Danio rerio: one gene and its partners. The main gene of each other region encodes a partner of the protein of the gene in region 7 in a complex. Links are inferred from orthologs where the notes say so. Each region holds a gene or a part of one and is shown on either strand. Other genes may lie near its edges. The genes, in order: tmem107l, cc2d2a, cep290, tmem17, mks1, ahi1 and tmem67.

Evidence for each region.
Region 1: tmem67 (region 7) and tmem107l share a complex: the UniProt entries of both Homo sapiens proteins name them as parts of the tectonic-like complex. The link is inferred for Danio rerio from reciprocal best matches to the Homo sapiens genes TMEM67 and TMEM107.
Region 2: tmem67 (region 7) and cc2d2a share a complex: the UniProt entries of both Homo sapiens proteins name them as parts of the tectonic-like complex. The link is inferred for Danio rerio from reciprocal best matches to the Homo sapiens genes TMEM67 and CC2D2A.
Region 3: tmem67 (region 7) and cep290 share a complex: the UniProt entries of both Homo sapiens proteins name them as parts of the tectonic-like complex. The link is inferred for Danio rerio from reciprocal best matches to the Homo sapiens genes TMEM67 and CEP290.
Region 4: tmem67 (region 7) and tmem17 share a complex: the UniProt entries of both Homo sapiens proteins name them as parts of the tectonic-like complex. The link is inferred for Danio rerio from reciprocal best matches to the Homo sapiens genes TMEM67 and TMEM17.
Region 5: tmem67 (region 7) and mks1 share a complex: the UniProt entries of both Homo sapiens proteins name them as parts of the tectonic-like complex. The link is inferred for Danio rerio from reciprocal best matches to the Homo sapiens genes TMEM67 and MKS1.
Region 6: tmem67 (region 7) and ahi1 share a complex: the UniProt entries of both Homo sapiens proteins name them as parts of the tectonic-like complex. The link is inferred for Danio rerio from reciprocal best matches to the Homo sapiens genes TMEM67 and AHI1.

The regions. Positions count from the first base shown.
Region 1 is NC_133198.1:31,418,579-31,423,801, reverse strand, and holds the start of tmem107l (transmembrane protein 107 like), read left to right. Parts: upstream 1-1,758; 5' UTR 1,759-1,915; intron 1,916-2,038; 5' UTR 2,039-2,044; coding exon 2,045-2,131; intron 2,132-2,223; coding exon 2,224-2,291; intron 2,292-2,914; coding exon 2,915-3,015; intron 3,016-5,169; coding exon 5,170-5,223. UniProt on the Homo sapiens protein: Plays a role in cilia formation and embryonic patterning. Requires for normal Sonic hedgehog (Shh) signaling in the neural tube and acts in combination with GLI2 and GLI3 to pattern ventral and intermediate neuronal cell types.
Region 2 is NC_133198.1:2,304,846-2,309,314, reverse strand, and holds part of cc2d2a (coiled-coil and C2 domain-containing protein 2A), read right to left. Parts: intron 1,829-4,469; coding exon 1,737-1,828; intron 1,653-1,736; coding exon 1,551-1,652; intron 160-1,550; coding exon 67-159; intron 1-66. UniProt on the Homo sapiens protein: Component of the tectonic-like complex, a complex localized at the transition zone of primary cilia and acting as a barrier that prevents diffusion of transmembrane proteins between the cilia and plasma membranes.
Region 3 is NC_133200.1:18,969,116-18,973,584, forward strand, and holds part of cep290 (centrosomal protein of 290 kDa), read right to left. Parts: intron 3,130-4,469; coding exon 3,083-3,129; intron 2,765-3,082; coding exon 2,621-2,764; intron 1,975-2,620; coding exon 1,921-1,974; intron 1,700-1,920; coding exon 1,679-1,699; intron 1-1,678. UniProt on the Homo sapiens protein: Involved in early and late steps in cilia formation. Its association with CCP110 is required for inhibition of primary cilia formation by CCP110.
Region 4 is NC_133200.1:30,967,626-30,972,637, reverse strand, and holds the start of tmem17 (transmembrane protein 17B), read right to left. Parts: upstream 3,256-5,012; 5' UTR 3,180-3,255; coding exon 3,065-3,179; intron 2,435-3,064; coding exon 2,331-2,434; intron 2,221-2,330; coding exon 2,107-2,220; intron 2,032-2,106; coding exon 1,888-2,031; intron 1-1,887. Other genes in the region: PKc_like domain-containing protein, read left to right, coding at 3,281-3,327, 4,939-5,012. UniProt on the Homo sapiens protein: Transmembrane component of the tectonic-like complex, a complex localized at the transition zone of primary cilia and acting as a barrier that prevents diffusion of transmembrane proteins between the cilia and plasma membranes.
Region 5 is NC_133180.1:61,419,877-61,423,288, forward strand, and holds the end of mks1 (tectonic-like complex member MKS1), read right to left. Parts: intron 1,309-3,412; coding exon 1,205-1,308; 3' UTR 1,009-1,204; downstream 1-1,008. UniProt on the Homo sapiens protein: Component of the tectonic-like complex, a complex localized at the transition zone of primary cilia and acting as a barrier that prevents diffusion of transmembrane proteins between the cilia and plasma membranes.
Region 6 is NC_133192.1:9,394,031-9,398,499, forward strand, and holds part of ahi1 (jouberin), read right to left. Parts: intron 2,241-4,469; coding exon 2,117-2,240; intron 2,027-2,116; coding exon 1,797-2,026; intron 1,712-1,796; coding exon 1,605-1,711; intron 1-1,604. UniProt on the Homo sapiens protein: Involved in vesicle trafficking and required for ciliogenesis, formation of primary non-motile cilium, and recruitment of RAB8A to the basal body of primary cilium.
Region 7 is NC_133191.1:30,700,224-30,704,692, reverse strand, and holds the end of tmem67 (meckelin), read right to left. Parts: intron 3,561-4,469; coding exon 3,420-3,560; intron 3,336-3,419; coding exon 3,255-3,335; intron 3,147-3,254; coding exon 3,030-3,146; intron 2,954-3,029; coding exon 2,837-2,953; intron 1,046-2,836; coding exon 941-1,045; intron 815-940; coding exon 712-814; intron 622-711; coding exon 479-621; intron 397-478; coding exon 316-396; 3' UTR 139-315; downstream 1-138. UniProt on the Homo sapiens protein: Required for ciliary structure and function. Part of the tectonic-like complex which is required for tissue-specific ciliogenesis and may regulate ciliary membrane composition.

The DNA of each region.
Region 1 (5,223 bases), on a different chromosome or scaffold from region 7:
TTTTAAAACCCAATTTTGGGACAAAATTATTAGCCCCTTTAAGCTAATTTTTTTTTCGATAGTTTACAGAACAAACCATCATTATACAATGACTTGCCTAATTACCTTACCCTGCCTATTTCACTTTATTAACCTAGTTAAGCCTTTAAATGTTACTTTAAACTGTACAGAAGTGTCTTGAAAAATATCAAGTAAAATATTATTTATTCTCATCATGACAAAGATAATATAAATCAGTTATTAGAAATAGGTTTCTAAAACTATTGTATAGAAATGTGCTAAAACTATTTATATATATATATATATATATATATATATATATATATATATATATATATATATATATATATATATATATATATATATATATATATATATATATATATATATATAAATATATATATATATATTAAACAATTCTTTTCTTCATGGTTTTGTATCTAAGGTGTGCCAACCTTGTTTGTTGGGTTTCAGATTTATTAAAAATATATCACACCCTGCAAATAAAATGGCAAATGTTGTCACCACAATGTAAAAAAAAAAGTCTTCCTAAAACTGTCTATTCTCAATTTCTTAACTCTAAGGTTAATATTTTACTGCCTTCCAGAACAGCAAATGCCCTTGATAGCAAACCACTGAGTTAGTATTTATTTATTATTTACTAGACCAACGACGTCTGGCTGTAGGCTACAGTAAAAACTAATGATTCATTTATTTGTTGATTTGTGAATGCTGAAAACCTGCAACCATTGACATCCATATAGGAAAAACAAATGCTATGGAAGTTACAGGTTTCCAACTTTCTTTAAAGTATTGCCTTTATCGCTTAACAGAAGAAAGAAACTCACAAAGATTTACAACCACTTGAATAAACAGCAAACACGTTTTTATATTTGGGTGAGCTATCCTTTTAACTTATAGGGCTCTTATTACACACGTTTTATGCACTTACTATAATACCAATAAATTATGCATAATCACATGCAAAAACCCATAACCATAGTAAGTACTCCATATCGTTAATTAATGCCACTCAGTACTTTATGCTATAGATACACTGTAAAAATGAGACCGTAAAACAAAAAACAACTTAGTTTGTTTAAATGCATTTCATTTCGAGATTAGCACTGTCGCTTCACAGCAAGAAGGTTGCTGGTTCGAGTCCCGGCTGACATTTCTGCAGATGCTTTTTTCCCTGTGTTTGCTTGGGTTTCCTCCGGGTACTCCGGTTTCCCCCACAGTCCAAGGACATGTGCTATAGGTGAATTGAATAAACTAAATTGGCCATAGTATATGAGTTTGAATGAGTGTGTATGGATTTTCCCAGTGCTGGGTTGCAGCTGGAAGGGCATCCGCTGTGTAAAACATATGCTGGATAAGTTGGCAGTTCATTCCGCTGTGTCGACCACTGATAAATAAAGAGACTAAGCTGAAGGAAAATGAATGACTGAATAAAAGGCTTGTTTAAGACACCTCGAACACCTTGATAGTGCTCCCTATTGACCACAATAATGAAGTCTTTGAAATAAATTTTTTCCAATTGTCTTACTACTTGTCTGCGCTGCCATGTTCCAGTTCACCATTTTCAAGTTATTTCACCTTTAGTACCTGCTCTCAGCCGAAGGAAAATGAATGAATGAACATTTTGAGACATTGTAAAACCAAGTTGAGGACCAGTCAGAAAGCGACTCCTTCCAGCAGGTGACAGCATTGAGCTACTTGTTGGTCTGTTTTGACCATAACCCATTCGCCAAATAGAAGAAGAGTGTTGTCGTAGCAACCCGAAGCTTATATCGAGCGATAACTGTCCTCAAGCTTGATAAACTTATACGCATAGTAGCCTTATATACAGTGCTATATCTACTTTACTGCTCACCATTTGAAAAATCAGGTTTTAACAACTAACGCAAAGCTGGTACGTATACCATTTTGATATACAACCTCACGTTTTGTGAAGATGAACACGTTAAACCTTTAACTGTTAGTCATCCACTTGCACAGTTCAATCTAAGTTATTATGTCTTTCTTCTCTGTCTAGTGTTCAATGTCGGTGGTCAGCAGTCTGGTGCCTGCCCGTTTCCTCACTCTCATCGCGCACCTTGTAATAGTGATAATCATTTTCTGGTCTCGGGTAAGAAGTGTTCTTGTGTGTGTAATTGTTATTTTTATATCACACAACATCACTGCAGCCAGCTGTGTGTTTAAATGTGGAATGACCTACAGGAGTACAGTGTCCGAGCCTGTCTACCACTCGACTACACTAATGAAGAGTACACAGCAGAGGACACACGGTTGGGAAACACACTTTCTCTGTTCTGTATTGCTTCACAGTGGCTAAATGATAATATAATTATTTCGGTCATGTAGTGAGACTGAATAGTATTTTTTGATTCAACTTTATTGTCATTATACATGTACAAGGCAACAAAATGCAGTTGGGGTATACCTAGGAATGCGATAGCATCAAGTGCATGATATATGCACAGTGCTCAGCAAATGAGTACACCCCTTTGAAACAAAACAGATTTATTAAACAGATATATTTATTCAAATAATATTTTAGTCATCAAACATATTTAGAAATTGAAAGATATTACAATTACATTCAAGCAAAATAATCCAAAAAAGAAAAGAAATTACAACCTGCAAGATTTCAACTAAAATAGTCTTTTTTTTTTTCATTCCGCAATACAGAATGTATTTTAATTGTTAATTAAATGTACCTTTTAATTTATGAAACAAAATACTTTAAAATCTTTTGATGGCTTTTCTTGTTTGACCCATTTACAGCATATTATTGTTTGACTGATAGTAAATTGTACATTATTTATATGTAGATGTGAATAATGTTATGGAGTCAGATATAGTAAGTCCTGTTCATGACGCTGTCCTAACCATTGTTTTTGGAATACAGGCTTGTGGTGGCATTATCCGTGACTCTTGGCCTGTTAGCCATCGAGTTGGTTGGGTTTCTCTGTGGAATCTCTATGTTCAACAACAACCAAGCTCTTCTGTGTATCCTTACCAGTAGCACATCACCACTATAGGTTATATATATACTGTAGGTGTTGATGCATATAAATTGTGTATTATTTTCTTATATTTTCATGGATCGGAGTCAAATCTTCAACTTATGATTAACGCAAACAGCTCCCATATGTGTGTCTAGTACTAGTTTCTTACACATCTCATCCAAAGTCTTCTGTTTTGTTCAGATTTTTGACAGTAAATTACCTGAAGTCATGGGTCGTAAAAAATTATATGGAGCTGTAATGTGGTCAAGACCTACCTGGTATATAAAGTCAATCTAGGGCCATATATACAGTTGAAGTCAGAATTATTAGCCCTTTTGAATTATTACCCCCCTGTTTATTTTTTCCCCAATTTCTTTTAACGGAAAGTAGATTTTTTTCAACACATTTCTGAACATAATAGTTTTAATAACTTATTTCTAATAACTGATTTATTTTAGCTTTGCCATAATGACAGTAAATAATATTTGACTAGATATTTTTTAAGACACTTCTATACAGCTTAAAGTGACATTTAAAGGCTTAACTAGGTTAACTGGTTTAACTAGGCAGGATAGGGTAATTAGGCAAGTTATTGTATAACCATGGTTTGTTCTGTAGACTATCGAAACAATATATAGCTTAAAGAGCAATAATTTTGACCTTAAAATGGTGTTTAAAAAAAAAAATGCTTTTATCCTAACCGAAATAAAACAAATAAGACTTTCTCCAGAAGAAAAAACCCTTTTGGAAAAATAATAATTCAAAGGGGGGCTAATAATTCGGACTTCAACTGTACGTGCAAAATAAAATAAAACTTTGCAAACAACAAATAAAGTATTGAGCAAAAAATAAATAAATGTAAATGAAAAAAATAAAAAATACATTTTGCTAACAAAAATAAAGAACTGCAAAGGGGAAAATTGAGAAATAAAAATGAAATTTAAACAAAAAAGGAACTGCAAATAAACATCAAGCAGTAAAAAAACAAAACAAAAAGATTTGCAATAATCAAAAAAAAACTATATATATTTGCAAAACATTTTTATAGCATTGCTTTTACAAAACCTGCCCGGTCAGTTGCAATTGTCATTTTAATTAGATTTTAGTCAACTGTGAGTTTGTGATGCTGTTTTCACTTTGTACTTCACGTTTCTGCGCCTTTCACTTTGTGGCCCTGATTTGACAAGGGGACTGAGTCAAGGGAACTTAGAGGTTTACCTAAGGCCTGCCGTAAACGCCCAAGTTCCCTTGACTCCACCCCTTTGTCAAATCAAAATGAGCATTGCAGTTGACTGGATGGGTTAGGTCAAGGCTAAAAATGTTTTGCAAATATTTATATATTTTTTTTTTCAGTTCTTTTTTTGTTTGCAAATGTAATTTTTATTTTTCAAAAATAAATTTTCCTTTGAATTTTTAAATTTTTGTTAGCAAAAACTATTTTTATTTCTGAAAAACAAGTTTTTGCTTGGGCGAGGCAGTGGCGCAGTAGGTAGTGCTGTCGCCTCACAGCAAGAAGGTCGCTGGGTCGCTGGTTCGAACCTCGGCTCAGTTGGTGTTTCTGTGTGGAGTTTGCATGTTTTCCCTGCCTTCGCGTGGGTGCTCCGGTTTCCCCCACAGTCCAAAGGCATGTGGTACATGTGAATTGGGTAGACTAAATTGTCCGTAGTGAGTGAGTGTGTGAATGTGTGTGTGGATGTTTCACAAAGATGGGTTGTGGCTGGAAGTTGGCGGTTCATTCTGCTATGGCAACCCTGGATTAAAAAGGGACTAAGCCGACAAGAAAAAGAATGAATAATTAAAGCTTTTGCTTTGCGATTTTTAGAGATTTGCATTTATTTTTTGCTCAATACTTTCAATTTTGTTTTAAAAATGTTCTTTTATTTTGCAAGTATATGGCCCTAGATTGACTCCACAACTTTAGCCATATGGTTTCCTTGAAAAAACAAAAGTTTAACAATTAACATAGCCTCGTATTATAAAACCTAACAAAGATATCTTTACTATTGCTTTCCAAAACTAAAAGCAGTACAAATCAATACAATTAGACAGACATGATAGACAATCCCAGTGGTAGAATGGCAGCAAAAGTCTGGTTTGTTAACAATAAAGGCATCATGATACAGGCACAGAATTTTATTTAACCGTCACTTTTCAGCTATTGGATGTCACAGCAGTGGCTCTGTGGCTTTGCTTTTCTTCATGTTTGAGC
Region 2 (4,469 bases), on a different chromosome or scaffold from region 7:
GGCAATCATGAACATGGAGCATTTATACCTCTTCATATATAACAAGACCTTTAGGGAGCTTCTCACCTGCTTGTCTTTGACCGCACGTCTGGCCGCATCACGAAACTTCAGCCTGGCAGCAAAAGAGGAGTCCTCATCAGCCCGCAGATCTGGATCCATCTAGAGGAGGTGAGCAGATCAGACCTCGTTTTAAACACTGAAACTTGACTTCACATTCATTAGAAGAAATGTATACAGTTGAATTCAGAATTATTCGCCCCTTCAAATTTCTTTCTTCTTTTTTGAATATTTTTCAAATGATGTTTAACAGAGCAGGAAATTTTCACAGTATGTCAGATAATATTTTTTCTTCTGGAGAAAGTCTTATTTGTTTTATTTTGGCTAGAATAAAAGCAGTTTTTAATTTTTTAAACACAATTTTTCCTTGATGATCTACAGAACAAACCATCAATATACAATGATTTCCCTAATTCCCCTAACCTGCCTAGTTAACCTAATTAACTTAGTTAAGCTTTTAAATGACACTTTAAGCTGTATAGAAGTGTCTTGAAGAATATCTAGTCTAATATAATTAACTGTCATCATGGCAAAGATAAAATAAATCAGTTATTAGAAATTAGTTAATTAGATATAGTTAATTAGTTTATTAGATTATTAAAACTATTATGTTTAGAAATGTGTTGAAAAAAATCAGCTCTCTGTTAAACAGAAATTGGGGAATAACCTTAACATAACCTTTCTTTAAAATTAAAAAAAGAAATGTTTTAAAAGTTTTCAAAACTATAATAAACTAAATGTATGTAACAGTCTGTCCAGGTCAGTGTCCTGTCACAGTCTATGGGAAAATCTAAAGTTTTAGACCAGGGGTGGGCAAATTCGGTCCTGGAGGGCCGGTGTCCTGCACAGTTTAGCTCCAACACTAATCAAACACACCTGCTTATAGATTTCTTGTGATCTTAAAGACACTGATTAGCATGTTCAGGTTAGTGTTGGAACAAAACTCTGCAGGGACACCGGCCCTCGAGGATCAAGTTTGCCCATCCCTGTTCTAGACCCTTCCATATAGTCCAAGCTTTTTTACAGCATGCTAATTCCCCTGATTCCACAGGAGGAGCTGTTTTAATCAACTCAACAGGAGAAAAACAGACAGTGGACAGTGGACAGTGGACAGTCATGGCTTTCAGATGTTTCTCAAATGATGTTTAACAGAGTAAGGAATTTGTCAGTATTTACAATAATATTATTTTCTTCTGAAGAAAGTCTCATTTGTTTTGTTTCAGCTAGAATAAAAGCAGTTTTTATTCATTTATTTTTGAAAACATCTGAAAGTGAATAGTATTAACTGCCTAATTAACCTAGTTAAGCCTTTAAATGTCATTTTAAGCTGTATAAAGTGTCTTGAAAAATGTCAGTTATTAGAAATAAGTTGTTAAAACTATTAAGTGTTGAACAAAATCTTCTTTCTGTTAAACAGAAATTAGGGGAAAAATAAACAGGGGGCTAATAATTCAGACTTCAACTGTATGTATAAGTTTTGGTGTGTTTCTTACGTCTCTGTCGAATCTAGTGACGGTGTCTCGATCTTGTAGACTCTGCAGGCGACTTACAGGCTCAATGCTGCTTTCCTGCTCTAGAAGACTCGCGGCTTTAGACTGAAGGGACGACACAGATGAAAAGTGTTAAATAATCTGACATATATTGAGAAATGCATGCTGTGCTTTTCTCTGCTCCTTCACCTTCGCTGCTCGTAGCTTCTCCGTCATGCGTTGTCTCATAGTCTTTTCTGATTGGCTGGATCCAGGCCGCATCACAGTATGAGGAGAAGCATCTGCATAGATTGTTAGCATGAGCACCCATGAATTTTAAAAAACGTTTTTTTAGATATTAGCAGTATGTTAGTCAGTATATTAGTCTTAAGCAAATCTATAAGCTATTGTGCTCAAAAATTCCCATTTAGAAGATATAATCCAGAGATACATCCAAAGCTTGCAGTTTGTCACTTCCACCAAAATGGATCAATGATTTATTAACATCTCCTCATACTTCAGTTTCTTATCAAATCTTCTGACCAAACAAATGCTCTCTAGTATCTGACACGCCCCGCCCCCTTCTTCTCATTTGATGCGCTTGAACTCAACCGCTCTCACTGGCAGAGCTGTGAGAAAAGCAAAACACTATTGGTTTTTTAAAGGGTAGAAGCTACTCTATGTCCCACCCCATCTTTATATTTCAATTGAGTAGTGCAGTTTATTTAAAGATAATCCTTTTTTGTATTTAGGCAAGGCAAGGCAAGTTTATTTATATAGCACAATTCATACACAGTGGCAATTCAAAGTGCTTTACATAAACAAGAATAAAAGAAACAAGTAAAATAAAAATAAAAACAAATAATAAAAATGCGTAAAAAACATAAAAACAGGTAAAATGTGATATAAAAGAATGAAGAAGAAGAGAAAAACATGATAGTGCAATCTGTCGGACGCAGCACAATGCTCATTCAGTAAAGGCACAGCTAAACAGATGTGTTTTCAGTCTTGATTTGAATGTGCCTAATGTTGGAGCACACCTGATCATTTCTGGAAGCTGATTCCAGCAGTGATGGTCATAGTGGCTGAAAGCTGATTCACTCTGCTTTGACTGAACTCTTAGAACTTCTAGTTTATATGATCCTAATGATCTGAGTGATCTGTTGGGTTTGTATTCAGTCAGCATATCTGTAATGTATTGAGGTCCTAGGCCATTTAGTGATTTATAGATCAGTAATAATACTTTAAAATCTATTCTGAATGTAACTGGCAGCCAGTGTAGAGACCTGAGGACAGGTGTGATGTGCTCTGATTTTCTGGTTCTGGTCAGAATTCTGGCTGCAGCGTTCTGGATGAGCTGCAACTGTCTGACTGTCTTTTTAGGAAGACCAGTGAGGAGTCCATTACAGTAATCCAACCTGCTGCTGATAAAAGCATGAACAAGTTTCTCTAAATCTTCACTAGAAACAAAGCATCTGATTCTTGCTATGTTTTTGAGATGATAGTATGCTGATTTACTGACTGCTTTGACATGACTATTGAAACTCAGATCTGACTCCAGAGTCACACCAAGATTATTGACCTTATTTTTTGTCGTTTGACCTTCAGTGCCAAGGTACGCATTTACCTTGAGAACCTCATCTCTGTTCTCAAACGCAATGACTTCAGTTTTCTCTTTGTTTAACTGAAGAAAGTTTTGGCACATTCAATTGTTAATTTCATCAATGCATTGGCAGAAGGTGTCAATGGGGCTGTAGTCATTAGGCAGTAAGGCTAGGTAGATCTGAGTGTCATCAGCATAGCTGTGGTAGGAGATTTGGTTCTTTCTCATTATTTGGCTCAGAGGGAGCATGCAAAGGTTGAACAGGAGTTCATTTTTTGGAGTGTTCTTCTAATTTATCAATGTATATTTTTGCTGATGACACTCAGATCTACATAGCCTTACTGCCTAATAACTATAGCCCAGGCCCGGATTGGCTAATCGGGAGGACCGAGAGAATTCCCGGTGGGCCGGTCTGTTTTTTGGCCGTGAGGGCCGGTGTCCCTAGCTGCTTGCACTCTCAGCAGTCAGACTTTTTTCATCTATTTGTTTATTTGACCATAGCTTTACTCTTTTTATTCATTATTTTGCTGCAGCGCTGCTTTTTTAATTTATTTTCTCGCAGCCCTGTGAGCAAAATGCAGCCTGCAGGTTAACTAACGTTAATGATGATGATGTAATGTAACTATCGACCCCAAACCGCGGCACCTTAGTAAATATAAGAATTCTAATAATTATTATTAATGAATAATACACCTGCCCAATGAAAATCAGATGATTCACTACATTTATAATTCTGACATAACTTGATCAGAAATCTAAAAAGGGGAAAAAAAGATTGAGCTATCAAAAGAAAGTACTGCTGTGTCTTAAGGGTCACAAGTCATTACTTATTTTTTATTGCCACAGTTATAGCGCCATTGTGGTCCAGGAAAGCACGTTGCGTTTCAACGCTGCGGACCCGTGTTCGAGTCTCACCTGTAAAATTATTTTTTTTTCTTCATTTTTATTGTAAAGACATATTATACTGTTAGGGTTGTTGAACATTTGAATTTTTAAAGCAGCAGTTTTCTTGAAAAAGACGTGATAGTGAAATTAGAAACTGAATTGGAACCAGTCGTGAACTGAGGTGGGCCGGTTTGGCTTGAAACTCCAGGGCTGAAAATGAGTCCCACTCCGGCCCTGCTATAGCCCCACTGTCACCCTCAGCCAAATGCATTGATGAAGTGAACAGTTGAAAGTGCCAAAACTTTCTTTAGCTTTCTCTTTGTTTTACAGCTACAAGGTATTCAGACACCAAAACGGGCAGATTCTGGAGGATATAATAAATAATCTGATGGGTGTTTTGAGCTGAAACTTTACAGACACATTCTAGAGACAGCAAAGGCTTATCTTATATCTTG
Region 3 (4,469 bases), on a different chromosome or scaffold from region 7:
TGAAAAGATGGTTGCTGTCAAGTTGCTAAATGGTATTGCAGGTGATGTTATAGACATATGTCATCGAGCTAAATTGGAATGCATAAGCTCACTTTTACAGCTTGCGTTGGGTATTTGGATTGGTCTGCTATTTGGTGATTAGATGGTTTCATAAAGAGCCGTTTGTAGTATTTTTCTAACTGAACATTTATATTGTGTGCAGAGTATGTCTTCACCTGTAGAGACCTTCATGAGAGATTAACTTGTTGATTGGTGGTGACGTGGTGTAGTTCATTTACAGCCTTAAGGCTAGCTTTTCTGGTCTCGCATTTGCATTAGGATCCAAAAATGATAAATTATCTTGTGAAGATTATTTTGATTGGACAAAATGCATGCGTAATAAACTGTGTTTGAACACAGAGCTCATTATTTGCAATCATTGAAATCCTATGGAAAACCCTTTAAGGATTTCATCGAGCAGCCAATTGGCCTACAAGGTGATCTTAAAGTTCCTTCACTCTCTAGCAAAAGTTTTTTCACTATTTCACTGTCGAGCCAGTGTGGGCCAGGGCAATCACCCAGAAGCTTGATCGGTGAGGACGAAATCACATTGCGTTTCCATTGTAGGGCCAATAATTGGTAGTGACAATGAAAATGCAGCTATTGAGGTACTGAAAGGAGTATGGTACACATGGTATTACATGACTCACCCTAGTTTTTTTCCAAAGTCATTAATACATATTTTCTTGAAGTAAAGAAAAAATAGCATGTCTTCAGATAACAACTGCAGCTAATTCAAGTGCAACATTTAAGACATGATTTTAAGGCAATAAACAATCAAAATCACATTGTATGATTCATTTAAATCCCCTCTCATAAAATGTGTGTCTGACTGGGAAACCCAACAAATGCATATTAAGCAAAGTCAGGTACAAAAATAGCCATGGCCATATATTTTAGCGCTATTCTTCTTTAAATGCTTATTTAGTAAACACATTTTAATGTATTTAACGCCAAAAAGACTAGCACTGATGAAAGCTGTTAGTAAATTGGGCCCTCATGTCAGTTATATATATCAAAAAATGTTTTCCAGCAAAAGTGTGTTTGAAGTTAGTGCTACACAAAATTAATTTTTATGCCATTGACTATGCCATAAAAGACTAATGAATCTCTATTAGAGAGAAAGTTTAAGAGAGTCTCACAGCAGCAACAAGTCTCTAAAAATAATAACGTTTTGAGTTTAATTGTTTCAAGACCTACCACAGTACTGAAAAATATCAGTTGTGGAACCAATTTATGTATAAGATCTCTGGGAATAATGAAATAAAAATAATTAACATTTTTATCTCCATATTTATTATATATTTACTTGCTCAGTCAATGTTTTTATGAGTTTTGATTTTTCTGCTGTTGCAGGCTAGAAGGACCACTGACAAAAATTAAAAATCAGTGATATGGAACAGTAGTGTGGTCAAGAAGTTCCAGGAACTATTTTATCAGCTCATTTCCCAGAAAATAATCACATACCTCTGAACATTCATCATCCATTCATAAATAAAGCCTTCAACAGAATCACAGTCAAAGACATTTTTTTGTGGTGGCCATATTATACGAGGCAAGTGGTGCCGCTCCATTTGTCATAAACATGTTTCAAATAAATAGCCTGTCTATTCTAATTCTGGCTAATCTGGGGTCTTACCTTCCTCGTAAGCTGCTTTATCTTGATGGGCATTGACAACAAATGACAGCGAGGAAAGAAACGAGTAACAGAAAATGATAACAAGCATGCGTAGAAAATGAAATGGACAGACAAGAAATAAAGCTGAGGAGTGAAGTGAATAATGGTGATATATGAGAGATGCTGGAACAGATAACATACAGAGAAAGATTTAAGATGTACCCAAAAAGCATTATGCACGCTCCGAAAAGGATTGGACATACCTCTCTTTTTAGTTTCCTGTTCTTCTCTTCTGCTTCTTCTGCACGAAGAGCCAGCTGGGAGACGGAAAACATGCAATCAATGTTTTAGTTTGTCAGTCATGCACATGCAGCTGCAGAATTATTATTCCGTATTTTCTCTCCCAAAATGCATACGTTTTTATAAACAAAACATTTATTCAATGATATTTTGGTTGAATTATAACTTGCTCGTTTTAACTACATACAATGATAATAATATAATACAACGATATTTATAGTAGCAGTATCTGACTTCTTGCATTCAAAAACAAATGGTTTTCTCTATTATGAAAAACGTATTGAAATTAATCTCACTCCATTTGCCTTTTATCATCAGTTTTACTTTAAATTATTATAATACATTGATAAATGTACAATTTTAATAAGAGTTATATATATATTCTTTTATTTTATATTTAAATTCTCCATTTTGGTTTGAGATTTGTTTTGTAATTTTTTGTAAATATGACCATGTAAGTTCCAGTTAAGTTAAACTGGTAATGTATACATTTTAATATTTGTCAGCATTCTGCAAGGGGGCATGTACAGTACACTTTCAAGAACAACTGTATATATATGTTTTAAAATTATGATAATAATGATAATAATAATAATATGATAAAAACAGACTGCAGGGTTTTTGAAGTTAGTTTGTACACCTTTCATTAAAAGTGCTGCCTACCTCTTCATTGGATTTCCTTTCCTTGCCCATTTCCTTCTCCAGTTGGGTCACCTCTTTCTCCTTGCGCTCCAGGTGACTCTCCAGTTGGCGAATTTCATCCCGCAGAAAATGTTTGTCTCCCCCTCCCATCACACGCTGGGCCATCTGGACAGGAAGTGAGGCAGATCTGAATAAAGCTCAAGACCCAAGACCCAAAACCCAAAACTCTCCATCTGTACAGATCTCTGATGCTGGTGGGTTGCATGAAATTCCACTTCTTTTCACAATAATGAACATAACAATAGAAATGTTATGTGTAGAACAATTAGATTAGTAATAGATGGCAATAAACGTGGAATTAAGCCTTTAATCCTCTTAAGTCGGTGCTTGTAAACAGACACAGCACATGCTCACAAACAACAAATACTGTACTGGCAATCAAATTATTAGAACTGTATTCACTTAGCCAAACATCTCCCTTACCTCCAGCTCACTTTCCAGCTTTAAGACTTTGGCTTTCAGCTCATTTTCTGCAATCAATAAAACAAAATATAAACAATTACCCTCCTCACAAAGCTGTAGGACCTAAGACTTTGTTAGATAATTTCATCCTTAGGTTTGCCAAATAGGCATGAAATTTGCAAATTTTTTTTCTACACTACTGTGACGAATACTTGAGTGGACACAAACTCAAAACTCAACTGGGCACAAAAATCTTAAACTCAAAAAGAAAAGTAGGGCGGGACTTGATTTTGTCTCTCTGGAATTGATTGGGTTGTTGTAATTTTCTACTGGTTGTGAATGACATCAAAAACAACAATAATTAATTATAAATAATTCATTTACAGAAATGGTACAACCTCAAATCAGAAAAGATTGGGACATTATGGAAAACCCAAATAAAAAAGAAATGTCTAATTTACATTGACTAATTTTATTTCAGACAATACAACACACATTATTTGATCTGTTCCTCATTGTTATTTTTTTTAAATAAACACATTCCAAGTTTGGTTTTCGCAACACATTTAAAAAAAGTTAGAACAGTAAAGCATTTACCACTTTGTATGGTGCCATTCCTTTTCACAACACTTAAAAGACGTTTGCAGACTGAAGACACTAAATTGATAAAGTGTTTCAGGTGTAATCTTGTCCCATTCTTCCTGCAAGCCTTACAGTGGGCAACAGCACATGATCTTTATTGTTGCAATTTGTGCCCTCAAAATGCACCACATATTCTCTATTGGAGACAGGTTCGGACTGCATGCAGGCCAGTCAAGTACCTGTATCCTCTTTCTCCGCAGCCAGGACTTGTAATGTGTTCAGAATGTGGTTTTGCATTGGCTTGTTGAAATGTGCATGGGGGTCCCTGGAAAAGACGGCAACATATTGTCTACAAAACCTCTATGTACTTTTCAGCATTAATGGTGCCATCACAGAAGTGCAAGTACCAAGTGCCAAGGTATTTAATTTCCCCTAAAAATACTTGAAATACTGATTCATCTAACCACAGCACACACTTTCATTGTGTGATGGTCCATCCCAGATGTCTCAGAGCCCAGAGAAGTTGACAGCACTTCTGGACACTGTTAACATAGGGCTTCCTTTTGGCACAGTAAAGTTTTAACTGGCATTTGTGGATGTAACATATTGTGGAAAATGTTTGTCAAAGTAGTCCTGAGCCCATGTGGTGATATTACTTATAGATGAATGACGATTCTTGATACAGTGCTGGGATCGGAGATTATGATAGTTCAGCTTAGGCTTGCAACCTTGTCCTTTACACACTGAAATTCCTTCAGACTACCTGAATCTTATAATTATGTTTTGCACTGAAGGTGAAATTTTCAAATGTCTTCCTATCTTTCTT
Region 4 (5,012 bases), on a different chromosome or scaffold from region 7:
TATTTGTTTCATTTTTTTAATTAAAAGTCTACTTTTACAATTGACATATTTAAACTACAGCAGAAATGTTCAAACAAACAGGCCCATGTACAGTACAGATACTATTCTTAATAAATAACCAACTATAAATTAAAACCAATAACGTTACGCTCTGCCTATATTTTTGTTTTCACAATATTTGGAGACGCAACATAAAAACTGCTTTATAGTAATAGTCACATGTAGCTTTCGTCAGGAGCCATGGCTGTATTCAAAATGTCAAAAAAAAAATTCAAAGTGCACCACGAAGACAACTCAATTGTCAATATGAAGATCAAAGAACTGTAAAATACTTTTAATGCAAATTACACATAAGAGAGATAACTTTAATGTTTTTTTAATCATTCCAAGTTTAAATGTTTGAACATTCTAAATGTATAAGGCATAGGAGGGTGAACGGGAATAGAAAACAACCAGGAGCAATGCATCTAACTACAGCCCTAGAGGTTTAGTTGTAAGCTTACAAGTTTGTGATGCAGTTTGCGAATGTTCAATGGAACGACGGATTTGGGAACCGCCAAATCAACAAACTATCTTTGTAACGATGGAACTTGTGACCTTGGTTTGCTAACAATTGTTTTCGGAAAAGCACCCCAGGTTGTAAGTACTGCGTCTAAATGCTAAAAGAAGAAATCGGAGAAGTGACAAAAAAGAAAGACCAGGCAATGTATTCAAAATTAAATTTAAACAGATCATCCTCATCAAAAAAGTTTAAGATCATAGCCTTAAATGAAACGCTCAACATTTAAAAAAAAATAAGTTTAAACAGTTGAGTTTTAGCATTTTTTATTCAATTCTGTTGATCTTCAGGTCTGGTGTGAGCACTTTTAGCTTAGCTTAGCATAAATCATTGAATCAGATTAGACCATTAGCCTCTTGCACAAAAACTTAAAGTTATATAAGTTACACAAGATAATTTATATTTATATATAAATATATATATATATATATATATATATATATATATATATATATATATATATATATACACATATATATATATATATATATATATATATATATATATATATATATATATATATACATACATACATACATACACGCACACTCTTCTATAGTTACATTATGTACTAGGAACTATACTCTTATTCTAAAAAATATTTCCCATCTAGATAACAGTGCTACATATTAACATTGTCCCTGCTGCAGCCTTGGTATGGCAGCTAGTCCCTTGATTATTACACCAAAATGAGAGTATAGTTCTTAGCCATATCAACATATCACTTGCGCTTGACGCTCCTTCCACGTCTGGTGTGAACAGCATTAGTATACAATGTGACTAGAAAAGTGTCAAGCTCTAAATAGAAAAATTATCTCCAGTTATTATTTGTATTTTTGGAGCAAGATGCTAATGGTCTAATCTAATTTAATGATTTATGCGAAGCTAAAAGGGTTTTCACCAGACCCAGTGATCATCTAAAAGGATTAAAAAATGGCAAATCTTTTCTGTTTAACTCTTATAAGTTGAGCCTGTTCCTCCTGAAGTGGAGTGTTTCATTCAAATCTGCATAAAAATATGGCTTTCGTGCTTCCCTCCTGAGTGAAAATCTGTACTGAAGATGTAGTAAAATCAATCGAGACAAAAGCAGTTGTAGGCTTTGGAAATTAAAGTTGTAATCTTTATGTTACAACCAATATCATTGCTGTTCTTAAACTCTAATCACTGTGTTTTGCACAAAATAATGGCTTTTTGTCAAAGTGTCTTGAGTGTTTTATAAAACACTGTTCTGTTGGTACACAACTGAAATCCCTTCAAATTCTGAACAATGAGGAGTTAAAAATTCTACATAGTCACTTAAAATAGTTGTAAGATAGACAGATAGATACCTCAGCAAAGATAAATAAGGCCAGTATTATATGAACTCCTCTCTCTAGTGGTTGAACAAGAACAGCCTCATTGAAGAGCTGGAACAAAATCAGAGGAAACTGAAGTAGAAAAGTCAGAAGCCAAAATCCAGCCAATTCTGGAACCTACTGAAAAACAACAGATGCATAATGGGACCAATTATAGGATATTACATGATATTACATTAAATTAAGATTGACCTTTTCTTGCAGATTTCCAGCATTGCCCAAATACAGCCTAATAGCCTCAATCAGGGTCATTACAATGAGAATTGTGATCAGGATGAACTTGTAATAATCTGCAAGGGCTGAGTACTAGAAGAAAAAGCACAATGATTATTAGCTGTAATATCTAACAACAGTAATATGATTAAACAGCCATAAGATCATATTGAAATGTTAAAAATGACAAAGACGAGAATCACCTTTAGGTCAAGCATCACAACCTCACTGATCCACCAGAAAGGAAAGAACCACATGTTAAAGTAGAGTGACATCTGAAGAGGGAGACTCGATACTACATCCTTATCTGAGAAATAATAGTGCATAAAATTAAAATGACAAATTAGCTTTGAATAAAGTTCATTTTTACTAATCTTGGGCATCCTAAATAACCTGATTCGGAACCACAGATATATAATATGTATAATAATAATACATAAATCAGTGTTCGGAGCCTGTATAGGATGGAGTAAAATAACATTTGGCGAATCGGTTCTTTTGAACAGTTCGTTTTAAATGAGTAACTTTGTTCACTTGGCTGTTTTACCTAACTAAACTTGGTTAAAGATATCCAAAATATTTCGATTCCGTCAACCTATTAAATCATCTAGTTGCCTTACTTTAAGTAGTTTTTTTGACTAATCACGTTTTATGAAAAGGTCCATTAAGAAGATCCGATTCAAACGAACCATTTATTATGCTTTTTGGTAACGCAACGTAGTTTCGTAGGTCCCAGACAGGAATAACGCCAAATGTTATCAACTTCCTTTTAAGATTAATGCTACCATAAAGCATTATTATATCTGCATATGACGTCAGAAAAAAATATGTTTACTAGCAAAAGCTACATGAAATCGTACAACTCGGCTAACCAGATGAATTAGCCCTACAGCTAACGTTCACGTAGCAGATCAAATGGAAGCTCAAACACACTTACTTTGGTCTAGAAAATTTGCGTGCTCTTCGAAAGAGGGTTGTGTACGGCTTTGGTCCACAAACACGGTTCTGGAGAAATCTCCAAGCCGTCGCCTGATGGGTTCAGGCAGGTCCATGTTGGGAGAAGCAGACGTGTGTCCGTAGCAACCAGTCTATGGTAGCAACGAAGGCGGATCTTCTTGAGCGGTTGTGATGGTCCAGCTGTGACCACCGGGGGATGTTTTTCACTCTCACTCACACACACTGCTCAGCTGCACTTAACAGGTTTGCTTGCTTTGTATGATGGCGAAATAAGATACATTATGCTGAGTTTTATCCTGCAATGTGTATAAAGAATAATATTAATATTCCTGGCTTAAACTATCACTTTAAGTCAGCATGAAGTAAAAAAATGTACAATGTTTATTTTGCTAGAGGACATTGGTAGTGTTAAGGTGAACAATTAAGTAAAGTCGCTGATCATTTTTATTGTAGGTAATCTTTAATCAAAAACCTCCTATTTGATTCTGCTCTGGTGTGGGGGTCCTTCTCTGATGACGTCAAGTATGAGAACTAAAATAAAACCCTGCCCACTACTCAATGTTCAGTTTATTCAGTCTTGAGATCCAGGGTTTCTATTAGAATTTAGAGCTTTATTTTAAAGAAGGTTCTTTTTGGGTTCTTCACTTTTGAGAAACAATATGAAAAGATATATTTTTTTTGCAACCCAAGGTTCATTCATTCATTTTCTTTTCGGTTTAGTCCCTTTATTAATCCGGGGTCACCACAGCAGAATGAACCACCAATTCAGGGCCGTGCACAGACATTTTGAGGGGCAGGGGCACTAAGTGGGTGGGTTCTTGCTTATACAAATTTTCTAGTTGTTGTAAAAGTACAATTAAAAGAAAAAACAGTACACTCTGTAATAATTTCAGAACTATTTACCATTTTACATTTTTATATTTACCTGTACCTTTAAAAACAAAACTTTTTTTGTCCTGAAAGATCTTGATAAGCTCATCTTACATGTATGTGATTCACATTTACACATTGCGGATAATAACAGAAACTATTTACTGTTGGATGGACAATCTGAACATTTTCTGTCTCCATCACCTTTACTTTGCTGAGTTGACTCGGAGGGAGTTTCATCTTAGAATGAATAACAAAGCATTTACAATATTTAAATTATTTAAATGTCCATCTATCTTTGTATGACACTCTAGCATATCCCTTCCAGATTAACAGTCTTACCTGTACCTGTGTGATTTAGCTCATGCTCGGTGGTCTCCCTCATTTTTTGAACCTGCTTCTGCCTCATCTTCAATGGAAAAATAAATATTACACGTTTAATTTAATATTATACACCATGAATTTATATTAACTTTTAGAATATTAATATTGCATTTTTTTTTACTATTTATAGGCCTACTGTTGACATGGTTTTAATAAAATGATTTGCTGTAGCCTGTGATTATAGTGATTATTATGGAAAATATAGGCCTACTTAATTAGACAAACACAGCTAAATGTTCCATATGATGATTTACCTGCTGGAGCTATGAATGTTTTCAGTGTTAAACTACCTTTATCAGCCTTCCTTCGTTCTTTCTCTCTCTGTCTCTGTCTTCTTTTTTGTAAAGGCATTGTTTTTTGAGAATTTTTTTTGTCAACAAAGTGTTCCAACAACAGAAAAAATTAAATTTATTTACAGGCTGAAAGGGGCACCTCTGCCAATGGGGGCAGAGGGGGAGTGGCTCTAGCCACCAGGCCACCCCCCTGTGCACGGCCCAGCTCTGCACATTACTGTGCATTCATGAAACATGACAAAAAGTCTTGGTCTGTTGTAATTTTTTAGTTGTTAGGATCACACAAAATCATATTCTTCTCCCTCAGATGCTGTGAAGTGATGGAGTCCAGATGCTACAGGCACAGAAAAAGATGCAGCAATGGAGGAACACAGCGAGCAC
Region 5 (3,412 bases), on a different chromosome or scaffold from region 7:
TTAATGGCTGTATTTAATTTTTGTCGTGTTTTGTCTGGTGCAAACAGCCAAATTGTTTATCACTGTGAATCATGTCATGTAGCATGTTGTCAGGACACAGGGTTACAATATAACCTGCTCACCTAATGTTTACTTTCCTAATATTTATATTATTTGCTAATTAATAACTGTATCATGTGAAACTCTGAATACGCATCTCATTTCAGAGTCTGCTACAGTCCACCGGAGGTCGCATTTCAGTCACAGACGCATGCTTTGGGAGCCTTTCTGAATGAATGAACGTAACAGCATAAGTGCACATTACAGTTAAAAAAAAACCCCATAATAAATCATTCAAGAGTTCACACTTAGCTGATGATTGATTATAAGCAAGTTTGGCATGCTGTCCCGGGAGAGAGCCCTGAGCTCGAAGGTTCTTGAGCCCTGGGCTCCCTCCCGTTTGGAGGAAGAGAGGGGAGCCTCGAGCTCAGGTAGATCTCGACAACTCCCCCTTGATAATAGCTAAAGACTAAAAATTGAATGCTATTAAAAGATATGCTGCATTATTAGATTACCTGTATTGAAAATTTAGATTTATCAATTTACTTGTTGTGCATGTTTTTGGAATGTGGAAGGAAGCTGGAGAAAACCCGGGGAAAACCCACGCAAGCACGGAAAGAACATGCAAACTACACACAGAAACGACCAACGGCCTGTTAAGGAACTAGAACCGGTGATGTTCTTGCTGTGAGGCGACAGTGCTAGTCACTGGGCCACCGTGCTGCCCTATGGAGGGAAAGGTGAAAAGGTTGGGGTGGAAGGGGGTATTCTTCAAATCGAAGATGACTGTAGTGGAAAAACACTGGCTCTTTATAGTGGTTAGGAATGGCCTGATTGGTAGATCAAGCATGCTAATGCAGAACCAGCCGTGTTCAATCATAATCACGTGCTCCTCTCGAAATTAGTTTATGAATAAACTTCACTTATCAACATGGTACATGTACTTAGAAAACACTTTTAACTAAGCAGTTTAGGATAATTCAATAGCCATGTCTTTATTAAGTTTATTAAGTCTTTATTAGGTCTTCACTAACATGGGAGCTTTACTAATTTCTAGTTTCTTTTCTCAGAGCTTAACTAAAAAAAAATCAACAAAAAAGTATTATACATATAAACAAATACCATGACCAGCATTATTACATATGTTTTATCAGTTTTGATGTTCCTAAGCAGAAGACTCTGAGTTTAATAGTGCAGACGTGTTGATGAGGTCTCTGGGTAAAGTCTCTCTGGCCTCCTGCATGCGCTTATGGGCCCTCTGAAACGCTTCTGAAAAATCACAAACAAACAGCAGATTTTTAGAAACATGTTGCTATTCTGTACTGTTGTAATATTATATTATATTATATTATATTATATTATATTATATTATATTATATTATATTATATTATATCCTTCTGAGACCCGAATTTTTTTTCTTTTTCTTTTTTTTTCTGTGGTTTCCTAGATCCTTTGGGTTAAAAAAATTCTCCAATTTAGAGTGTTTACATTTTGTTTTAATTTTTAATTTTACAGCATGTCCAGTGGAGTGGACCATAGGACCATTTTAGTTCAAAACGACTGCCACTCAGACAACAAAACTGTACAGGATATGGCTGTAAAGGGATAATAATCCAATATTAATGTAACAAAAACAAAACAAAAACTTTTTTTTTCCTTTTGTATTGAAATTCCTGAAACAGTTTAGTCTGAAAGAGAGCTGAACTTTGAAAAAAAAGAAGTGATGTTATTATTATATTATATTATATTATATTATATTATATTATATTATATCGTTAAATAGTAATAATACATTTTTATAACTACTAATAGATTTAGGTTTTCAAAGAACTAAAAAAGGTGTTAAAATGAAATTAAAATAAAAAATGCTATAATGGTGTACACATAAATGTATTCGTAATTAATCAGCCATGTGTTTTCTGAATATAAAATGTTTTAGCTTTACATAAGTAGGAAAATATATTTTATTCATATATATATATATATATATATATATATATATATATATATATATATATATATATATATATATATATATATATATATATATATAACAAACATTTCTCAGAAATAAAGTTTAATTGAGTCATTCGCCTACGGTAATATTGAAAAAAATTACTATTGCGGTATGACGGTATTTATATATATATATATATATATATAAATATATATATATATATATATATATATATATATATATATATATATATATATATATATATATATATATATATATATTAGATTAGATTATGCATTACATATTTAAGAGATTATATATAATGTTTATATTATTTTTTTTTTCACATTTTCATGACACCTTATATACCCAGTGTTTTTAAGAACTGTTTTTATAAATAGTTTAACCTGATATACACTGGTTTACCTTGTCTTAACCAATGATGCTTTTCATATTTTAAACCATTTTTATTACATAAAATAAAATATTTAAAGGTGCAGTATGTGATTGTCTAAAGAAACATTTTTGTTGTGCTGGTGGAAAGTCTTCACAGTCCAATATTAAGGATTAAAGTAATGGGGTATATGCCGAAGCATGCTAGTAGGACTTTTATTTGCCAGTAACCTGGGTTAAGCGCTTCCGGCGAATTCAATGCCAATGCAAAATCCGGTGCGTTTAAGGTCTGTTTTCTTTAAAATCAGCGATCTCCACTAGCTGAGTGATATCCGATTTAAAGTGGGTCTCAGATTGTACAAGAAGCATTGCATTAAATTACATTTTCCCCCGCCATATATTTATAATATGAGCATTTATTTTACCCCAGTATATTCAATGGAGCTTCTGCGTTAGCCTGCAGATTCTGACGGGCGCGTGCGAGTGAACAGCTTTTTGTCTTGTTTTACGCTTGAGCAACTAAATAAATGCTAAAGTTTATTTAACTGAATGTATTTTAATGACATTGCAACATTAATGCTGCATAAGGAACCGTGTAAAATGGTAAAAAGTTCACAATAACAGGTCACCGGAAGTGTATCAGCATGGGAACTGCACTAGCTCGGCATATACCCTATTGAACTAATTGTATTTATATGCATTTGTATATTCTGGGTAAGGCATAAGACTAAAAAATTTTCGTACAATTAAAATTTGTCGGGCCGACAATTCCCATAATTCTGATAAGTAGCCCAAACTGTCAACAAATCCGTCAACAAATATAGATTTGTACAATTGCGCACCTCTGTTCACGCAGATCCGCCAATGCATGTACACATGTGCCATGGCCATGTGGATACGAGTGACAGTGGTAAAAACAAATGCTGAATCAAAAGTTTTTAAAATTCTGAATTAATATTGAAGTAACTTTTGCACGCTGGAGGATGACACCATGGCTGAAGTATTTCTTTTAGACAGAAAAT
Region 6 (4,469 bases), on a different chromosome or scaffold from region 7:
CAATAAATAATTACACACACCAAGTGAGTATAATAAGTCTATTTGATCTCATTTTGGCCTATTCTTGAACATTTATTATTTATTTTCACTGACAGCCCAAATTTAGCCTTGTTTTAGCCAAAACATCCAAGCTAGATGTCTATTAGACGTCTATTGAACACAAAATTGCTTGGTGCGCAGCGTTTTAAAATATATTAATATAGTGTATTTCAACCCTCAGTTGATTTTTTTTAAAGGGACAGTTCACATAAGACATCATTTACTAATCCTCCACCTGAGCTTTGAGTTAGAGCTCTGCATTCCCGCGGCTGTCCTGCGGGCGCCGCAGGACCCGACCAGATTTCTACGGCGCGGGTATAAATTTCAGAATATATCACGGGAGCGGTCGGTAATGGGTTTAATTTGGGACTGGAGCGGGCTGTCTAGCAATATTCGCTCCCGACTCCCGAGTGAGCACGCGTATGTATGTGTGTAAATGAAATAGCGCGATGCTGTGTTTAGCTTGTTTGTTGCTGTGTGTGTGTGTGTGTGTGTGTGTGTGTGTGTGTGTGTGTGTGTGTGTATATGTATGCACACGCGCGAATGAGAGGTGTGTGTGTGTGCGTGCGTGCGTGCGTGCGTGCGTGCGTGCGTGCGTGCGTGCGTGCGTGTGTGCTTGGTGCTTATGTGTGTGTGTTAGTGGGCGCGCGCGCGAATGAGAGAGAGAAAGCTTTGTTTCTGTGTGTGTGCTTGGTGCTGTGCGTGTGTGTGTTTATACAGACAGCTTGTTATAGGCTGTCTGGACTGTATAACTGGGTGATTTTCGGTTTTGTTTTCCCCCCGCTCTTTAGCGGCATCGGGCGCAGCGGATAGAAAACGGGGCGGGGCGGGCAGCGAGACAACAAGTGCTTAATATAAGCGGGAGCGGGAGCGGGAGCGGTCGGGTTCGGGCTAAAACCTGGCGGATGCGGGCGGGAGCGGGATTCAAAATTTAGTCCCGCGCAGATCTCTACTTTGAGTTTCTTCTGTCTGTTAAACACTGTTATGATGAGAGAGAAAAACAGCCATCAACCTCTAGTATTTTTGTTTCTACTACACTGCAAAAAATGCTTTTCTTAGATTTTTTGTCTTATTTCTAGTCCAAATATCTAAAAGTTCTTATATCAAGAAGAATTTTCAAGGCAAGCAAAACATATTGTCTTGTTTTCAGAAATAATATGCCAATATTAAATGAGTTTTTCCTTAAAACAAGCAAAATAATCTAGTTTTTCCTTTTGACATAAGATTATTTTGCTTACTTTATTGGCAGATTATTTAAATTTTGGCATATTATATCTTAAAATAGGACAGTATGTTTTACTTGTCTAGAAAAATATGCTTGATTAAAGAGTTTTTAGATATTTGGACCAGAAATAAGACAAAAAATCTAAGTAAGAAAAGCATTTTTGCAGTGTATGAATGTCAATGGTTTCCAACATTCTTTAAAATATTTAGTTTTGTGTTCAACAGAAGATAGAAACTCATAAACGTTTACATTTGAACCAGTTGAGTGAGAGTAAATAGTCAGGAAATGTTCATCTTTTAAATGAATATTTAACTTCCATGCATTAATTGAAAACTGTTACCCTCTCAATGCTCCACTGACTGGTTGCTCCACGGCGAGACCCAGGCATAACTTTCGTTCCCCACACAATGATGAGTCCGGAATTATCAGCAGAAAACATTCTGCTCCCTGTGTAAAGACCAACACATCACTATAGTCTCATATCACAGCTTTAACATCCATTCAGTTATTAAACCACCAATTTCCTCTGTACCTTCAGGGTCAAAACACAGAGTGTTGATGAAAGTCTTGTGTCCGTCAAACTCTTGCAAAAGTTGACCATTCACATCTTGTACATCTACGTTCCAGACTCGCAGCACGCCATCGTAACCCCCCGTCGCCACCAGACTCTGGGCTTGAGGGTGGAACTTGGCACAGTACACGAATGAAGGGTGCGGAAGAGTTTTATGCGCAAGAGTCTGCAGACGTTCAACATTCCACACTCTGAAAGGGAAAAACATTGATATGTAATTATGAGGTACATATTATAATGAGGTGGTATTATGATCTTTTAAAACTGTCAAATGTTTTTACCTCACTGTTCCATCAGAGGATGCAGTTAACAGGCCTTTATCATCTCTGGACCAGCAGAGATCATAAACCACACTCAGATGGCCATTAAAAGATGACAGAACTTTCCCAGATGGAATCTCATATACTAAAAGTACAGACCAACACAACAAAAACATTAGGTGCATTACAAATTGCATACTTATGCACAATTCTAAGCTATTTTGTAGTATAAATCAGTGTTTCTCAACTGGTGGGTCACACCCAAAAGTCGCGGGAACATTTTTAGTGGGTCGCAGAGTGTGTGGTAAAAAAAAACAATTGTTGTGGGAACAACCGTACCGTTTGACATGTGAAATTTCATTTAATTATAGCAACAAATATATCGAAGCGCAAGTACGACCCCGAACATGTCAAGTATGGATTTACATATATGGACGACAAAAAAGGCTCAGTGTGCCATGTGTAGTGAGGAGCTCTCACAAGAGCACTTTTAGAAACCAAACATTTGTCGTTTTTACTGTGTAATATTTTCTGTAATTTAAATTTTTTATATTGTTAAATTACAATAATAAAATAGTGTTTATTTGTTAATCTTGGGGATTTTCTTATCATTTATCTGTCACTACTTGTATATGTTAACAAATAAATACAAATTAATTATAATTCCCAAAATTATATTTTAGTTCCTAAAATTTTGGGTCGAGATTTGATGACCATGTAAAAATGTGGGTCCCATGGCCAAACCAGTTGAAAACCACCGGTATAAATAGTGCACTAAAAGAATAAGTGCACTTTAAATACCTGGATAAAAGACTTATTCAACCGTTAAACAGAAGTGTGAAATGTTGAATACTTCAAGCACTCAACGGTCACATTGCAGAAGGGGAGGAGCTATTAGGCACTAAGGTTGGATTTCATTATTTATTTTGGATTGTGCAAGCAAAATTCTCCTATGTAAGTGATTACATTCCCAATGGTGAATGCTGTTATACTCATGACTGGTACTATTTGGTAGTTTGATCATTTGTTTCACTATTTGGCAGCTGTTAAACGTTGTCTGGGAAATGGTTTGTATTTCTGTCTAGTAAAAACATTAGTGTCTATTTAGAACGACACTAAACCCATTTCTACACTACATGGTTGAGTGTATAAGTCCATAGTGTGCCAATTGAAGTGCAACTATTGTAAATATGGTATGTTCAGAGCAATTGTTAACTGTAATGATTAGTTGACACCGGTCCAACTGCTCGTTAACGCAAATTTCTAATCAGCCAATCACATAGTAGCAACTCAATGCATTTAGGCATGTAGACATGATCAAGCTGATCGGCTGCAGTTCAAACTGAGCATTAGAATGGGGAGGAAAGGTGATTTAAGTGACTTTGAACGTGGCATGGTTGTTGGTGCCAGATGGGCTGGTCTGAAACTAATGATGGAGAAATGAAGCTTTCTGAACCAGTGAAGCGCTCGACTCAAATGTATCGGAAAAAGGTTTGTTACACGAAGCTTTCTAAATCAGAGCTGGATGAGGACCTCTGCTGGTTAAAGTGTAGGAAAGCACTGTTTTGTAATAATGTCAAATGTTCACAACTGACCAACTCATTCATGTAGTAATACAATAACAGTAATATAAACAAATTACTCAATTACTGTAGTTTTTTACACATAAGGTATTTTACATTACACCACCGATGACTGTAGTAAAATCCCAGGTATTCAAAAGCATTTACACTTCTCATATTTCAACTAGTCTTATTCCAAGCGGGGATCAAACCAGCGGTTCCTGCATGGTAGGCGAATGCTCTAAGGAGGAAGCTAGAAGAGGGATGCATTCAGGCTGCACTCGCCAGCTGGTCTCCATTAAACAGTATACTACGATATGCAGGGGTTTTCTTTAAAGGGCCATGAAACCCCCTCGTTTCAGCAGTGTGTTTTCACACCTCTACTTTGGAAAAAGTCAGAAAAGTGGGCGTGTCCAGCTCTGTTTAGGGGGGAGTGTCGGAGGAAGAAAAGCGGCTTGGTGTGGGAGTGTCTATTTGGGCACGCTGAATTTCAGAGTCAAAACACACACCCACAGCAGACAATGTGACTGTGTTTACATGGACATCTGTAGTCGAATTATTTGCCAAATTATTAAATGGTGGACTTTAACTGCAGTTTGGCTCTTTCATTCAGGGAATTCATTAATGTCCCTCCCGACAAACGAGATATTTGATTCGAGGAACAGCTCTAAGCGTGTATTTTTCATGCAATGTTTGATACTGCACGGCGAATGAGAGAAAAAAAAACTCAGCATTTCCCGGAAACTTAGATGCACTCGGCAGGTAGTGTCAGAAAGCCGTGTGTGTTATTCCGGTCACAAAATCCAACACGA
Region 7 (4,469 bases):
CTTTTAGCAGAATCACTTATATACAACCAACATAAGAAACATATATGAAGGATGAAATGTGCTCTGAAAAACTTGAACAAAAACCTCAAGCAATTATGCTTTTATGTAGCATCAGTTTTACTTATGAGGCCTGCCATGTGTAAAAACCAAGAACTTGTTTAATTGATCAAAAATACTTAAATATAAAAACATTTATACATTAGATTCAACAACATCCTGTCTTAGAAATTACAAAAAAATTATTATTAATATAAAAACAATACAAAATTCGGTAGAAGAAACCTGAAGGCTGTCATGGTGCAATAAGATGAAGATCTAGATGAGAAATCGTTTGTCAACTAGCGTTTTGTTGGCCAGGTTCCTGCGGCCCAATCCATTTCGAATTAATCTAAATATCTGAAAGAGAACAAATGTAAATAAAATGTTAATCATCACCTCAAGACCATCGAATGAAACCAGTGCATTAACACACACTAACCATTTGCTGAAGGTACGTTAACACAGCTGCGAGAATGAAGTTCTGCTTGCCCAGATCAACCACACAGAAAAAGAGCGTGTCGAAGATCAACAGCACACCCTCATTACCATAAAAAAGGACATCAGCGAATGAGTGAGAATCATCTGAAGAGAGATAAACACAAGGGTATTCACTCGGAACAGTGTGAGTGGGGTTTATTTTTTGTAAGTGTATTGATTATATGAGCGTTTTACCATTATAAAAGATGCTTTTATCGAGCGGCTCTATGAACTCCATACCGATGACTCTCTCAAACAGTAGCTTATCTTTCACAATGTAGTCCATCTCACGATGTGCCTGAGGAAGCAGCATTTAGAATGTGCACAGCAAAACACACAAAAAAACAAATATTATTATTAATAAATTTAATTAGTATTAAATTAATAAGGGAAATGACAAGCATCAGTTAAAGGCAGTTCTCACATGATCAATGACAGAGCCCAGGAATCGGTTCATAGTATGGTATGCTTTTGTGCTTTGCTCGCATGGATTGGCTGTAGCATCCACCAACCTTGAAGGTCCTCTTCTCTGTAAAAGTAGAAAGATTTTTAGTCACACTTACACAAGAGTGCTTTGAGTCTGTTTGTGTGGTATGGGTATCAGCAGGCAGCAACACAATTGATTGTTATGTCAGAATGAGATAATAGTTCCTAGCCATGTCTTCCTACAAAATGTAACCACAGAAAAGTCTAATAGTCTAATCCAATTCAATGATTCATGCTAAGCTAAGCTGAGTTTAGATAAGCAAACCAAAGCTAAAAGTCCTCCTCCAAGACCTGGGCCCTCATGTACAAAGGCTTGCGTTGAAATCATACTAAAAGATTGCGTATGCACAAAGCTGTAAATGTGCGTACGCAGTAAAAAATTTAGATGTATGAAACACTGCGTACGCCGAATCACACGCATATTCTCTTAGTACATCTGAATGAACGTGAAACTGAGCGCATGAGCGCAAAACCCCTCCCTGCCTCCTCCCCCGTATGAATATGTTAATTAATATACTCTGGCAAAACCCAACGAAAAAGCAATGGCAAAAGCAAGCAAAAAGAGAAACTTTGAACAGAATGTGATTTGGAGGTGCTGCTTTCGGAGGTAGACTGGAGAAAAACGGTGTTATTTGCAAGTTTGTCCTCCGGAATTAATAACAAAAGAAAAAAATAGAGTGGGAGAGTTTGGCTGATGCGGTTAACACAGTTGTGTACATGGAATGAATGTATAGAATGGTTAATGGCTTAGGTAAAGGGTATGAACGCTTAGCTATGGATGGAACTGAGGGTGACTATTGGACAAATAGGGTTTATGAGAATGTAGTATGATCCAGAGCCTGGAAGAGGGGATTAAAAGAGATATGCACATACTCACTGTTCCTATATCCTGTTGTTTTTTAACTGTTTCTTATGTTATAGGGCACGTTGACATTTTGTGCACTGAATGAAATTGTTTTGCAAGAGCGTGGGTGGTTGGAAAAAGACCAAGAGGAACTGAACTGAATGCTTGCACGGACTCAAAGCCCATCTAACACTAAGTATAAAGGCTGGGACTGCCCCAGTCTTCTTTAGAAGAGAGCAATTAACTGTTTGATTCACATCTCAGTTGTTGTTGCCTTCCTGCTTACTGAGGGAACACACAGACGATCTGCAATTTATTCCAACAGCTGGTTTGGCATCAACTCGTCTGTCAAACTGTGAGCAGCAATATTCTTCTTTCATTTTGCTTCTTTGGCAATATGTCTGTAGGCATGTGTGGTTGCACACGTTACCATCCAACCAGTTAACAAATATGTGTTGCACATTTATGTAGCCAATTAAAAAAAAAAAAAAAAAAATATATATATATATATATATATATATATATATATATATATATATATATAAAAAAAAAAAAATATATATATATATATATATATATATATATATATATATATATATATATATATATATATATATATATATATATATATATATATATATTTTTTTTTTTTTTTATTTATCATTCGACTCATACTATTAACAGGTTAAAAATGCATCTTTTTTGGTTAACAGTGAAACAGTTATTATGAGCATCCCTAATTCAAAAATGGTTAAATTCGACTGTTTAACATTAAACACTAGGCTCATGTAAAATGAGTATTTTATAAAAAGAAGAAAGAAAGAAAGAAAGAAAGAAAGAAAGAAAGTGAAACTGTTTCTTTAGAAAGAAAGAAAGTGTTTCTTTAAGCACCAATGTGACTGATCATCTTTTCTTTTTTTAAAGGCAATTTCAACAGGCATGTCTAATTTTGGGGGAAATATTTGACATAGTATTTGCTTGTGTTTATACCCTGCTGATTGGCTCGATTATCCGATCATACTGTGCTCGCAGACGGTTAGTTATCGAAATCTGAAACGTCTGAGTATCAGAGTTTGGCAAAAGTCCCCTTTGGCCACACAGATTCTCCTAAAACACATAAAAAATACAATAAATAACTTATTTATTTCAAAACTACTATAAACAGTAAGCCTCAAAATCTTACCGCCTCCCTCTTAAGGTTAGTGTTCATCTCATCCATGTTAGTATCAGCATGACCATGAACAGAGCGCCCATGAATGTAGTAGCCAAAACATCGATGAGACAGCAGCAGAACTGAGATCTAAATGACACACACATATAAATAAAGAAACACAAACAACATTAAACCATGATGTAAGATGTGGTTTATAACTACATTTATCATCAAGATTTCCAGCCGGATACTTACATTACTGATTGAGCACAAATCCACAAACTGACGAATCTTGTCTTCAACAAACCGTTCATGGAACACTGTGAAGAATATCATCTGAAGCACAATCACACAAAGAAGAGCATGTGGAATCTAATTGGTGACACAATTAGTATGCCTCTTGTCTATTTTCGTATGTACCTGTATTAAGCCAATGCAGAGCCACATAGCAGTAGCTACACCATAGCGGAGTATGAGGCTGTATGGAGGCGTGTATTCCTCAGCAGATCGATTCAGGTTAGACGAAGGATCTCTTAGAGCCAAATTTGAGAAGCCTACAACCTGAAAAAAAAAACAATATGTACTGTTAATTAAACTAACAATTGTATAGGTTCCCTTTAATATGGATTTAAACCAATGTTCTTAAACTGCCGGCCTGTGGGCCATTTACGGCCCGCCCTCCTCCTCTCTCCGGCCCGCAACTGACGTCAAAAATATAAAGATATTCAGCCCACCAAAACATATAATTTTTAACCTCTTTCACTGTTGTGCAGTGGCGTCTAGCCTGTGGTTTAGCCCGCCACCTAGTTGACATTTAAAGTACTGCATTCAGATTAGTTTTACTTTCACTTTCTCTCAGTGTATTGTTGAGAGTAACACATATGCTTTTAAATTCTGTGGCTAATTTAAATGTTAAAACTAGTGCTGTCAATCGTTTAAAAAACATTTACTAAATCGCACTTTTTTGTTAAATTAATTGCGATTAATCACATTTAAAAGACTGATACTTGTAATTTTGGTAATTAAAATGTAAAATTAATGTAAACACAAGAAAAAAACTATTTAAATTTTAAATATAATTGTTTATTAGGATTTTTGTTTAACCTGTAACAGATTTCTTCATGTAAACAACATCAGCAGGCAGCAACACAACTGATTATGTCAGAATTAGAGAATAGTTCCTAGCCATGTCTTCCTACAAAATGTAACCACAGAAAAGTCTAATAGTCTAATCCAATTCAATAATTTGTTTAATATGATTAAGATAATACTCTTATTACAAGTCTACCATGTAAACAGCGATCCATGAAAGTACCACCAAGACACAAAAGGCAGAGGGTTTTTTTTTCCGTTCGCCAAGCGGTATCAAATTCCGCAAAGTCGAAAGTTAAAAATGAAACACCCGAAATTGCATGAAACTCTGGAGAGCCTGGTGATGCGACATTAATTGTTTTATACTGAAACTTGCCT